Arabidopsis thaliana: one gene and its partners. The protein of the gene in region 1 interacts with the protein of each later gene in a pairwise test. Each region holds a gene or a part of one and is shown in the gene's direction. Other genes may lie near its edges. The genes, in order: FBH4, AT1G76590 and AT5G26749.

Region 1 (3,756 bases):
ATCTATATGCAATATATATAGAGCCTCAGGCACATAAACCGTAGTCCCCATATAAAAAAGGGAATGAAACAGCTAATAACTCCATAGAGAATAAATTCACATTCAAAGCAAATTCACCACCCCAATCTTCTCAATGGTTCGGTTTCTTTTTTCAATTCTTACATTGTACTAAAAGCTAAAAATTCAGACTGATACGATACGAATAGGTTTTTGAAAATATAAAAATTAATCAATTTCCATTAAAGGGCTGAATAGCTAAAAACTCCATAGAGAACAAGTCGCTTTATTGGATTTAGATTTTAAAAAGACGGCGCTCGTGAATTATTAAAGTTTAAACTAAGATAAGATTTAAAGAGATTTAGAGGAGACGTAATCTGGTGTATATCGTTCACATAGAGTCACGTCACTGTATAATCCATCGACCACTAAGGTTTTAGAGTTTAGTTTCAAATCTTACTTTTTCATGCAGGTGTACCGTATGTCACACAGATTATAGTAGTCGCCAACTTACGTTCCCAATGGGTGATAACGGCGTCAACGTCCTCCGTCACGATCGTGTCGTAAGCTGTACACTGTATAGGTTCCGTGAACCTTAAAATCGGATTTGGAAAGCTACGTACGTACGTAAATATTGGTTAAAAAGTTCAAACAGTTTTGATCTCTCTTTTATTACAAACAAACTGTACTTCCGACAATTTTCTTTCTTTCTATTTCAAGTACGTTTTCGTGTCTAACTATATTAACATCTAACTTCTGACTTTTATACTCTGATGGGACAATCTTTAATTCTTAAATTCTAAGTTGTACCATGCGAATGGATATTAGATTTTGTCAGTACAATTGCTGACTATGAATGAAGTACTCTAACATCATTATTGGTTCCTGAATAATGAGTACTTAAACAAAACAAATTTGAAGTAACGTAACCATGACATATTAGATCCATGTCCCCTAAAACGTATTAAAATTATTTCCTTACGTCGTTAAATTTCGAATCTAGTGTTAAATTGTTACATTGGTTGTTAAACTACCGACCCAATAAAAAAAAAGAAACTAATATTTATGATTGGTGCATCTTGTTGTAAATTGTAATCGTATGGCCTACCAGCGATTTCATTGTCCCCAACATACAGATATTTTTGTTCGTGTGTTATAAATTAGGGTAGAAACATCACATATTTTACAGAGACAAAGAAAAAAACAAGAATCGTAATAAAATGATATTATGGATACATGTAGATTATAAGATGAGAAATAATAATTTGTCACGGGTCCATCAGTATACTCGTCAAAATTGATTAGGTAGGTAATTTACTTCACATGCTCTTCCTGTATACAAGTATAAAGTATGTATTTTCATCTAAAATCTACTCTTTTCTCAATTACATTTTATATAGAAAAATTCATATTCTTAAGAAATAGTAGTAAAATTGTTCTTGAAAAAAAATATGAAAAGGCATTTTCCGTGACTCAGCCTCACAGGCGGCTTAAAACGACGTCTTTTTCAATTTTAATAAATTTTTGGTAAAAAAGCTTTTGGATCCGCCGCTATCTTCAGCAATTAAAGTTGGACGCAGAAACTCAGAAGCAAAAAGACGATAAATATTCATCATCACCTTCATCTCTCTCTTCCTCTCATCAGACTTCACCGTTCTTCTTTCTCTCTTCTTCATCTTCAGACGAAACCTCCTTTACTTCCCCTTCAAGGTTTTATATTTCCCAAATCCTACACCTGCTCACATCTCAAGCTCAAGTTTTGTTTTCCCGGGAAAAGTGACACAAACAAGAACTTAACAAGGGAGAAGAAAAAGCTTATATTCATATCAACGGTTGACGTTGGAAAGCTATTAAGATTTGGTTTTCTACAAATTTGTTCTTCCTGAAACGTCACGAGACAGAGCTTACAAGAAGAGAAAACAGAGGAAATTTCGTTGCATTTTTTTTACATATTGATTCGATTAATGGATTCAAATAATCATCTCTACGACCCGAATCCCACCGGGTCGGGTCTTCTTCGTTTTAGATCAGCTCCGAGCTCTGTTCTCGCCGCTTTTGTTGACGACGACAAGATTGGTTTCGACTCCGATAGGTTGCTTTCAAGATTCGTGACCTCTAATGGCGTTAACGGAGATCTGGGTTCACCTAAATTCGAGGATAAGTCTCCGGTTTCGTTAACGAACACCTCTGTTTCATACGCCGCCACTCTGCCGCCACCGCCGCAGCTTGAGCCGTCGAGTTTTCTGGGTTTGCCGCCGCATTACCCGAGGCAGAGTAAAGGGATAATGAACTCGGTTGGTTTGGATCAGTTTCTCGGTATCAATAATCATCACACCAAACCAGTTGAATCTAATCTTCTCCGTCAAAGCAGCTCTCCAGCCGGAATGTTTACTAATCTCTCTGACCAAAACGGTACCGTTTTGCTCTCTGCTACAAAGTTTTTCCCCCTTTTTTTAGTCTGAAATATTTTTTTCATTTATAACAGAAGTGTTTTTGGTACTTCTTGATTCAACTTTTTTGAATGTTTTAACACTTGCTTCAAGATTTTTGAATGTTTTACGTTCCTTGAGAATAATTTTAAGACAAGATCTGATTTGATTTTGTCAACCATAGAGTTAAAGCACTTTGGACTCAACAAATCTAATAAGTGTTTACTATATACTTACAAATTTGCAGGTTATGGTTCAATGAGGAATTTGATGAATTACGAAGAAGATGAAGAGAGTCCATCTAATTCCAATGGATTAAGACGCCATTGCAGTCTCTCTTCAAGGCCACCTTCTTCACTTGGAATGCTTTCTCAAATACCTGAAATCGCACCCGAAACTAATTTTCCATATAGCCATTGGAATGATCCATCCAGCTTTATTGATAACTTATCCTCACTTAAAAGAGAAGCCGAGGACGATGGAAAATTGTTTCTCGGAGCTCAGGTAACTCGGTTATCTAACCGGTTTGTTTTGGTTATTGATCAGTAGCTGAAAGTGGAGTTGATTTCTTGGAGTGGTTTCTAATGATGTTTTTGATGGGTTTCTACAGAACGGAGAGTCCGGGAATCGTATGCAGTTACTGTCGCATCATTTGAGCCTACCAAAGTCATCATCGACAGCCTCGGACATGGTTTCAGTGGATAAGTATCTTCAGCTACAAGATTCTGTTCCTTGTAAAATCAGAGCCAAACGTGGTTGCGCTACACATCCTCGAAGCATCGCTGAACGGGTAACTTCACCTAGTTAAGGCCATCTTTACATATATCAATGGAAGTCCATTTGAAGCAGAATCTAGTTTGTTTTCAGAAAGCCTTTCCTAAGAAATCTTGTCAATTGTGTCAGGTAAGAAGAACGCGGATAAGCGAGCGAATGAGGAAGTTACAAGAGCTTGTTCCTAACATGGACAAGGTACAGTTTTCAGGAACTTCCTTGTAATGACTTTTGATCATAAACAAATTGTTAAATGATGTTGTTTTCTTTATGTTTTAACAGCAAACCAACACTTCGGATATGTTGGATTTAGCTGTGGATTACATCAAAGATTTACAAAGACAGTATAAGGTAAAGTTCCTGATCATTGTGGAAAAAAAACAAAGGGGCCTGTTTAGTCTTCTGTTGAATTGATTTAGTCTTCTGTTGGTTTTACACAGATTTTAAACGACAACAGAGCTAACTGTAAGTGTATGAACAAGGAGAAGAAGTCAATATAGGGCGCAACAAAGTGTGTAGTAGATAGGACTAAAAAGCAGGGAGAAGGACAAGAAAGAAA
Region 2 (3,756 bases), on another chromosome or scaffold:
GAAGGAAACTGAGAATGAGAGGCATAGTGAGAAAACCCAAAGACATGTGGATCTTGGACATTGCAGAGATGGAATCACTCACTGGTCTTTGGTGAGCCAGAGAGTACAGAGAAACTGGTTCAGGTCAGAGCAGACATAGCTTCAACACAACACCCAAGTTTTTATATATTTGGCTAATTATGTTTTATTCTTGCATATGTTAATTTCCCATTCTCCCTTAATTACAGTTTTTAGTTGCTTAACACAAAAGCTGTTGCTATTTTACTGAAGCTGTTTTCTCCTGTGTGTTTATTGTATCTCTGTAGAGTTGTGAACGTAGTTGAACATTGTTGTAAAATTGTAATGTAATACCTTTTTGGTTAATCCTACGTAAAAGTAGTATTAGCCACTACTTGCTAAACATTTTAAAGGGACATCTTAAAAAGTGAAGATGATTCTTCACAAATAAACCACAACGGTCACGTGAGTCTCGTGCTATTGACTACTATTGTTGAGGTCGGTCAACAGTGCATTGCCCCATCTTTACCTTCTTCTTCCCACATTTGTTTGGGATATTTTTCAATTTACTCACTTTATGAATACAAACAAAACAATAAAACTAATCTCTTTTGTGTGTAGTTGAAAGAGATAAGATCGCAGAAAAGAAGACGATGATTCGTCGACTTTTCTCCCAACATTTTGAACAATTAGTTGTTATGTGTAATTTTCTATAGATAGCTACTATCTGATTACGTGGATCACACTTCTCTTTTTATTATTATCTCTTTAGGTTTCTTATCCCATATAATATGATATCAGGTCTCTTTCTCGAGTAATACATTATATATCTATGTTGATTATTTACTACTTGTCATTTAAGATAAGATACTTAAAAATACTTGTTATTGGATTTTGCCGGAAGACTTAACTTTCAAACTCTATTATATGTAGAAGATAGCGGACTGAAAAATACGTCGAAGACAGATACTTCTATTGCATAATTTTTGGGTAGGGACTAGAAAACTTACTCGTAGTTTCGACATATCATCCGCAATCTCAAATTAATTGCAAACTTTTTGATCATATCTATTGAAACTATCTTTCTAGCTTCATTAATTCGTTACCAGCCCCCAATATAAGCTATCAAGTATGAATATTAAGATGGATTTAACGGTGATAATAGTAGTATGTACAGTTTCTTTTGTCAACAGCTGATAAAAAAAATGAAAGCTTCTAACAGTTTGAGCCTAAAGAGATCATATATGTGAACAGTTTCACACACACATAAGCCGTACAACTAATATAGATATCACTTTGACCGTAAAAATCTAACAGTTTAGATCACACACACACAATCTTGAAACTAGTTTAAAGCACTTTCAGCGAAAAGTACTCACTAGATGATAAGAACTCTTTGGCACGTAACAGACGCTTTCGAACCCTACGATTTCAAGAGGTGGCTTATGTACGGTCCACTCAACTTCTTCATCCGACGGTCTAAGATTGGTCATGTGGGTTGAACTACCAAAAGGGCCAAAAGCGTGAGCCACGTTACATTATAAAAGATTTTGTCTTTTTAATCCAACGGTTCACACCAGAATCTCCAATTCGGTTCTGTCTCCTCTCGTGTCGGTCCATCTCTCTGGCTCTTCACCTCTAGCCACGTGTTTCTAATTTTGACCTTTTAAAATTTTAAGAAAAAAACAAATTATTTCTTGTAGCTAAAATTTAGCATCCAAATTCCAAACTCAGAGTTCTCTTCTATGGCCGTATGATACTTCCAATAATCCGTATGTATGTGAATATCATAATCTATCACAAACATAATGAATAGTAGTAGATATTAAGACAATCAAATTTGGTAGAAAAAATATCTTCCTACGTTGGGAATTATGTAGGACCGAATAATATAGTCGGCTAATTCGATATTTTGTCGCGAACCACGACATAAAATTATTTATCATCATTTGTGAACAATAATGATTCAAAATTATCAATAACACCACCTTTTTTTTTTAAGTTCCTTTACTTCTGGGGTCTCTAGAGACCCACACATGTGCACAAAATATACGTGTGTCTCTCATAGACTTTAAAGCAAAATTAGAGAACACTTATTTTTAGCCAAAAAAAGTAATTAAAGAAAAAACTATATAAAAACAGTTTAAAAAGGGGATGATATTAAATGATTTTCATGTGAATTATAAAACGTATTGAGTATTATCGTGACCGACTTCAAAAAACAAGAAAAACCTCAACTTCTCTTTTTCAGCTATAGCCGCCGCCTCCTCCCACTAAACTCAAATCCTCTCATAGTCTTTTCAATCAAATCTGCTCTTCTTCACTGTTGAAGCTGGCTATCAAAACTCACAATAACTATGGTGATTGATTGATTCTCTTTCTTACTTAACTCTGTTTTAGTTTCTTTGCAAATTCTTATATTAACCATTTGGAACTGGTCTAAACATTCTTCAGGGACCGATGATGATGAGAGCAGAAGAAGATAACTACAATCTAAATCCTCCACCATGGCTAATCCCAATGCTAAGAGCAAACTACTTCATCCCTTGTTCAATCCACGCCGCTTCCAACAAAAGCGAGTGCAACATGTTCTGTCTTGACTGTTCTTCTGAGGCCTTTTGCTCTTACTGTTTGCTCAATCACAGAAACCATCGTGTCCTCCAGGTTCTTTCATCAACTTCAAATCATTTTTTTCTCTCTTACCAATTCACCCAACAGAGTTAAGAAAATGGGATTTTCATTACTTGCAGATACGGAGATCATCGTACCACAACGTTGTGAGAGTAAACGAGATTCAGAAGTACATAGACATATCTTGTGTTCAGACATATATAATCAACAGCGCAAGGATCGTTTTCTTGAACGAACGTCCTCAGCCAAGAATCGGCAAAGGAGTCACCAATACTTGTGAAATCTGTTGCAGAAGCCTTCTCGATTCTTTCCGTTTCTGCTCTCTCGGTTGCAAAGTAACTCTTCTTTCCTCTGTTTTCCTCTGTTTTGAATGAATATCTGAATTTGCTCTGTATAGTTGAAATGACCATATTGCCCTTTTGTTTGGTTTATTTCAGCTTGGAGGAATGAAGCGTGATCCAAGTCTAACCTTCTCTTTGAGAGGGAAGCATGGAAGAGAGTACGAAGGTGAGTGGGAATCTGATGAAGCGACTACACCAACTAAGATACGCAAGACATGTGCTTTCAACCGTCTGATGAGTGGTCTTTCCATCTCCACCGTTAAATGTGATTACTTGTCAGGAGATCAACCGTCTTCGAGCTCCGGTGATGAGAGCGGTTTTAAACTTTCTCCGGGGACACCGCCGATATATAATCACCGGAATTCAAGTAGACGGAAGGGCGTCCCACACCGTGCTCCTTTCTAAAATTAATACTAACGGAAGCTAATTATATAGTGTAGATTATAGAAAATGTGGTTGTTATGTTGTAACTAAATGGTTAGTAGTTTTTAACCTTTTGAGCTAGGAATATACATATTGTAAGACATATTACTTACAGGTATTGTTTGGTTTTTCTTTTTATAGTACATATAGAAATTAGGTATATACTGTACTCAAAGGGATTGAAATATGTTTTCATATAGTTTTTTTGCTGTAAATATACGTTTGAAGGAGGTATGTTTCTTCAACTTGTTTGTATCGTATACTGTGTACTATCTTCACAATAAAATAGCAAATATGATAACTAGGATTTTTAACTGAAGCGCTAATATTCGAAGAACTAAATTGTCAATGAGAATGATACAGA
Region 3 (3,756 bases), on another chromosome or scaffold:
CTTGACCATCCTAATGTTGTGTCTCTGAAACATTGTTTCTTCTCAACCACTGAAAAAGATGAGCTTTACCTCAATCTTGTTCTTGAGTACGTTCCAGAAACTGTTCATCGTGTTATCAAACACTACAACAAACTGAATCAGAGAATGCCTCTTATATACGTCAAACTTTACACTTATCAGGTATCAATTATTACATTTCTGTTAGATTTAGAGTTATGTTTTGGATCTCTTATCGGATTTCTCTATGTTTGGCAGATTTTTAGAGCCTTATCTTACATTCACCGATGCATTGGTGTGTGTCATCGTGACATAAAACCTCAAAACTTGTTGGTATGTACAAGTTAAATAAACAGGAGCTCACAGTATACCCGGGAATATACTTTTCTTCATTGTCTAATGCTACTTTTTTCACCTGTAATGGAACAGGTAAATCCGCACACTCATCAAGTAAAGCTATGTGATTTTGGAAGTGCAAAAGTATTGGTGAGTTTGATAAACCTCTTCCGGGTACTTTGTTTCTTGGAAAAAGTTAGATTCAATCTTGTTGATCATTGTAATATCTGAAAACAGGTAAAAGGAGAACCAAACATTTCCTACATCTGCTCGAGGTATTACAGAGCACCTGAACTTATTTTTGGAGCAACCGAGTATACGACAGCCATTGATGTCTGGTCTGCAGGATGTGTTCTAGCTGAACTATTGCTTGGACAGGTAATGCATTAAATCTTATTCAAACATTTTTGTTCTACTTAACCTGGAATTTTGTGATTGACAAACTCTATTCTCTGCTCATGACAGCCCTTGTTCCCTGGTGAGAGCGGTGTTGATCAACTTGTAGAGATTATCAAGGTATAAGCTTTGCACTTGTTCACTTTGATAACAAGTTCTTGTTTTCAATAATACTGAGAGAAGATTTGATGTAATGTTTTTTGTTATGCTTTGGGGTAGGTCTTGGGAACGCCTACTAGAGAAGAAATCAAGTGCATGAACCCAAACTACACGGAATTCAAATTCCCTCAGATTAAAGCTCATCCATGGCACAAGGTAGAAATAAACTTATATTCATCAAATCAACTTGTCAATGTGTTATTCAGTAGCAGTTACAGTCAATGTGACAATATCTACTCGTCATAATATATTCACAGATTTTCCACAAACGCATGCCTCCAGAAGCTGTTGATTTGGTCTCAAGACTTCTTCAATACTCTCCTAATCTACGAAGTGCCGCTGTGAGTATTACTTACAAATTCAACATTCTTCTGTGAATCTTCTCGATGGTCCTTTCATTTCCTATTTTTCTTTTGTCTGACTTGCTTTTACTTGAATCGTAAACCTGATCACAGCTCGACACATTAGTCCACCCATTCTTTGATGAGTTAAGAGACCCAAACGCACGTCTACCTAATGGACGTTTCCTTCCACCGCTTTTCAACTTCAAGCCTCACGGTACAACATCTCCCTTTCCTAATGGTGTTTATCTCCAACTTACCTGTAAAATCATCAAAGTTTTACCTTACTAAAGCTATACCTGTAATTGTTGTGAAACAGAGCTGAAAGGTGTACCATTGGAGATGGTAGCTAAGTTAGTACCTGAGCATGCAAGGAAGCAGTGTCCTTGGCTCGGTTTGTGATTTCCTCTTAATGTAGCATGAACACAACAAACACTTCTTATAAATTACCTCTCTATGTATCAATATGTCACAAACTGATATGCACCCTTTGTTTGTTGTATGAGTAGAGAAAAAAAGAGTTATTACTATGGTTGGTTGGTTCATAATGTAAAAGCCCACCAAGATTTTTTATCTAGATAAAGAGTTTGCTACTTCTGCTTTTGTATCTTCTTCTTCCTCTGCAACATCATCAAACAAAGACCCTAAAAGTCACTGTAGCAAATACAAGTATCCTCACGCGCCTAAAACTAATAAAAGCCAAAACTTTTTGATTCTACGAGTCGTCGTCGTCATCGCCGGAAGATGCCGTCGGGGAAATATTACTGTGATTATTGCGAGAAAGAGTTTCAAGACACTCAAGTCGCTAGAAAACGCCATCTTCAAAGCAAACCTCATCTTCGAGCTAAAGCCCTTTGGTACAGTTCTTCTTCCTCAGGTATCTCTCTTCTCTCTTTTTTCTCTCTGTTTCTTAAAGGAACGATTTTTAACATCTCTGTTTCTTTTAATACGAAATTCTTAGATCTTGTTAATCCACAAGTCTCCAATTTTGCGACGAAAGGTCTCTGCAATCGATTCATTACCTCGGTACGTCGGATTGATTTTGTTTCGCTATGTTCATCATTCCTAGCAATCTCTGGATGTGTAAAGTCTTGTCCTTTTCGTTTATATTCTGGTGGAATCACACATTTTACATTGCTTTGTTTGATTCTGCAAAAAAATTCATTGCATATGTGTGTATGTATGTAATCTTCCAAGTAAAGTCTGTTCCTTTCTTAATGGGTTTTGCAGAATTTTTGCCCATTTGGAGATTCTTGCAGATACTTCCATCCTAACAACAATACAGGAAGCACAGGTTAGGTCAAAACCTGTTGATTTTTGACTTCAGTGATTTGGTCTCTTTTAGGCTACTTAAAGCTTTAAAGAAGTCTCTACTATGCGCAAGATTTGCTTAAAACATCATCCTCTTGTTGAATTCAAATGCAGGATTCACAAATAATACACAACTTCGTGTTGACATGCTTAACCAACAACACATCCAAGGAAGTACTTTAAACCGTATGCGTTCTTGTTTTTTCGTCATTCAAGTTCTCTAATATTTAAGCATTTATAGAAAATCTGATGTTGGAAGTTTGAATTGTCTAAAACAGGTGATTTTGTTAGTGGGAGACCAGGAACAGGTTGGTTTGATCTTCCGCCATCGCTAAAACCGCCTCCTGAGCAAGGCTATCCTCAGCTTCCCTTCATAGACTGGGGATAGATATAAATTCTCTGAATAATGCTCAGTTTCAACATTGATGATTCTACTTGAAAGGAAAAGACTAATCTTTGTCTCGTTGTGCTCTGCCATTACCAAGCTTTTAGCCACAAGCTTGTCTCTTTTCAGACTCGAGGTTGGAAGAATGTCAACCAAATTGTCGTCTTGTTACTCAATTTGTCGTCAACTTTAGAGACATTGTTCGGAGTTTGGACATGGCAAATTTGCAATTTAACATACTGTGCGATATTCTGATAAAATTCTTTAAATTTCGTTGGCTCGTCCCTATTCATTGCGTGATGATAGGATATCGCTAATTCGCTATCCGCTTCCTGGCCATGTGCTAAACAAGACTTCCCAAGCCAAACTATCAAAATATTTGACAAAGTTGGAGCAATTCCTAAGGCTGTAGATTAATTACAAAGTTGGAACAATTTTTTCCCTAGAAAATACATTATTGAGAAACAGAGTATAAGTTGGCTAAAAGAAAAATCAGATTGTTCAGAATCAAATATTTAAATTATTAACTTCATTTTCATTTCTTCAACTCCATAAAATAGAACTAATTTTAAACTCTTTATTGTTGAGAGAAATATCTTCGAATCTCCTAAGAGTAATTTAGTCGAGCATGTTGGTTTGAGTTTATAAAAGATAGGTTATGATTTATTAGTTAATATTTCAAATTTATATATTGGTTTTTAGGTTTATAATGGAGGGTTTTAGTTTATTTTTTATTTTAATTATGAACAAAGTAAATAGTTTGAGTTTATAAAGAAGAGTTTGATTAGCGTATTATAATTACTTATATGTCGGTTTAGGTTTAAGATTTTA

Evidence for each region.
Region 2: the proteins of FBH4 (region 1) and AT1G76590 interact in a two-hybrid assay, tested with the Arabidopsis thaliana proteins (one large-scale study listed by BioGRID).
Region 3: the proteins of FBH4 (region 1) and AT5G26749 interact in a two-hybrid assay, tested with the Arabidopsis thaliana proteins (one large-scale study listed by BioGRID).

Annotation. Positions count from the first base shown.
Region 1 is NC_003071.7:17,611,369-17,615,124, reverse strand, and holds FBH4 (basic helix-loop-helix (bHLH) DNA-binding superfamily protein), read left to right. Parts: upstream 1-1,533; 5' UTR 1,534-1,961; coding exon 1,962-2,409; intron 2,410-2,673; coding exon 2,674-2,930; intron 2,931-3,036; coding exon 3,037-3,216; coding exon of another isoform or gene 3,217-3,234; exon of another isoform or gene 3,235-3,329; coding exon 3,330-3,395; intron 3,396-3,479; coding exon 3,480-3,611; downstream 3,612-3,756.
Region 2 is NC_003070.9:28,738,521-28,742,276, forward strand, and holds AT1G76590 (PLATZ transcription factor family protein), read left to right. Parts: upstream 1-2,019; 5' UTR 2,020-2,354; coding exon 2,355-2,357; intron 2,358-2,451; coding exon 2,452-2,661; intron 2,662-2,747; coding exon 2,748-2,963; intron 2,964-3,065; coding exon 3,066-3,374; 3' UTR 3,375-3,711; downstream 3,712-3,756.
Region 3 is NC_003076.8:9,397,457-9,401,212, reverse strand, and holds AT5G26749 (C2H2 and C2HC zinc fingers superfamily protein), read left to right. Parts: upstream 1-1,945; 5' UTR 1,946-1,973; coding exon 1,974-2,106; intron 2,107-2,190; coding exon 2,191-2,312; intron 2,313-2,459; coding exon 2,460-2,523; intron 2,524-2,654; coding exon 2,655-2,726; intron 2,727-2,818; coding exon 2,819-2,928; 3' UTR 2,929-3,198; downstream 3,199-3,756. Other genes in the region: SK 11 (shaggy-related kinase 11), read left to right, coding at 1-180, 256-330, 427-483, 571-711, 799-849, 949-1,044, 1,146-1,229, 1,344-1,446 and 1 more.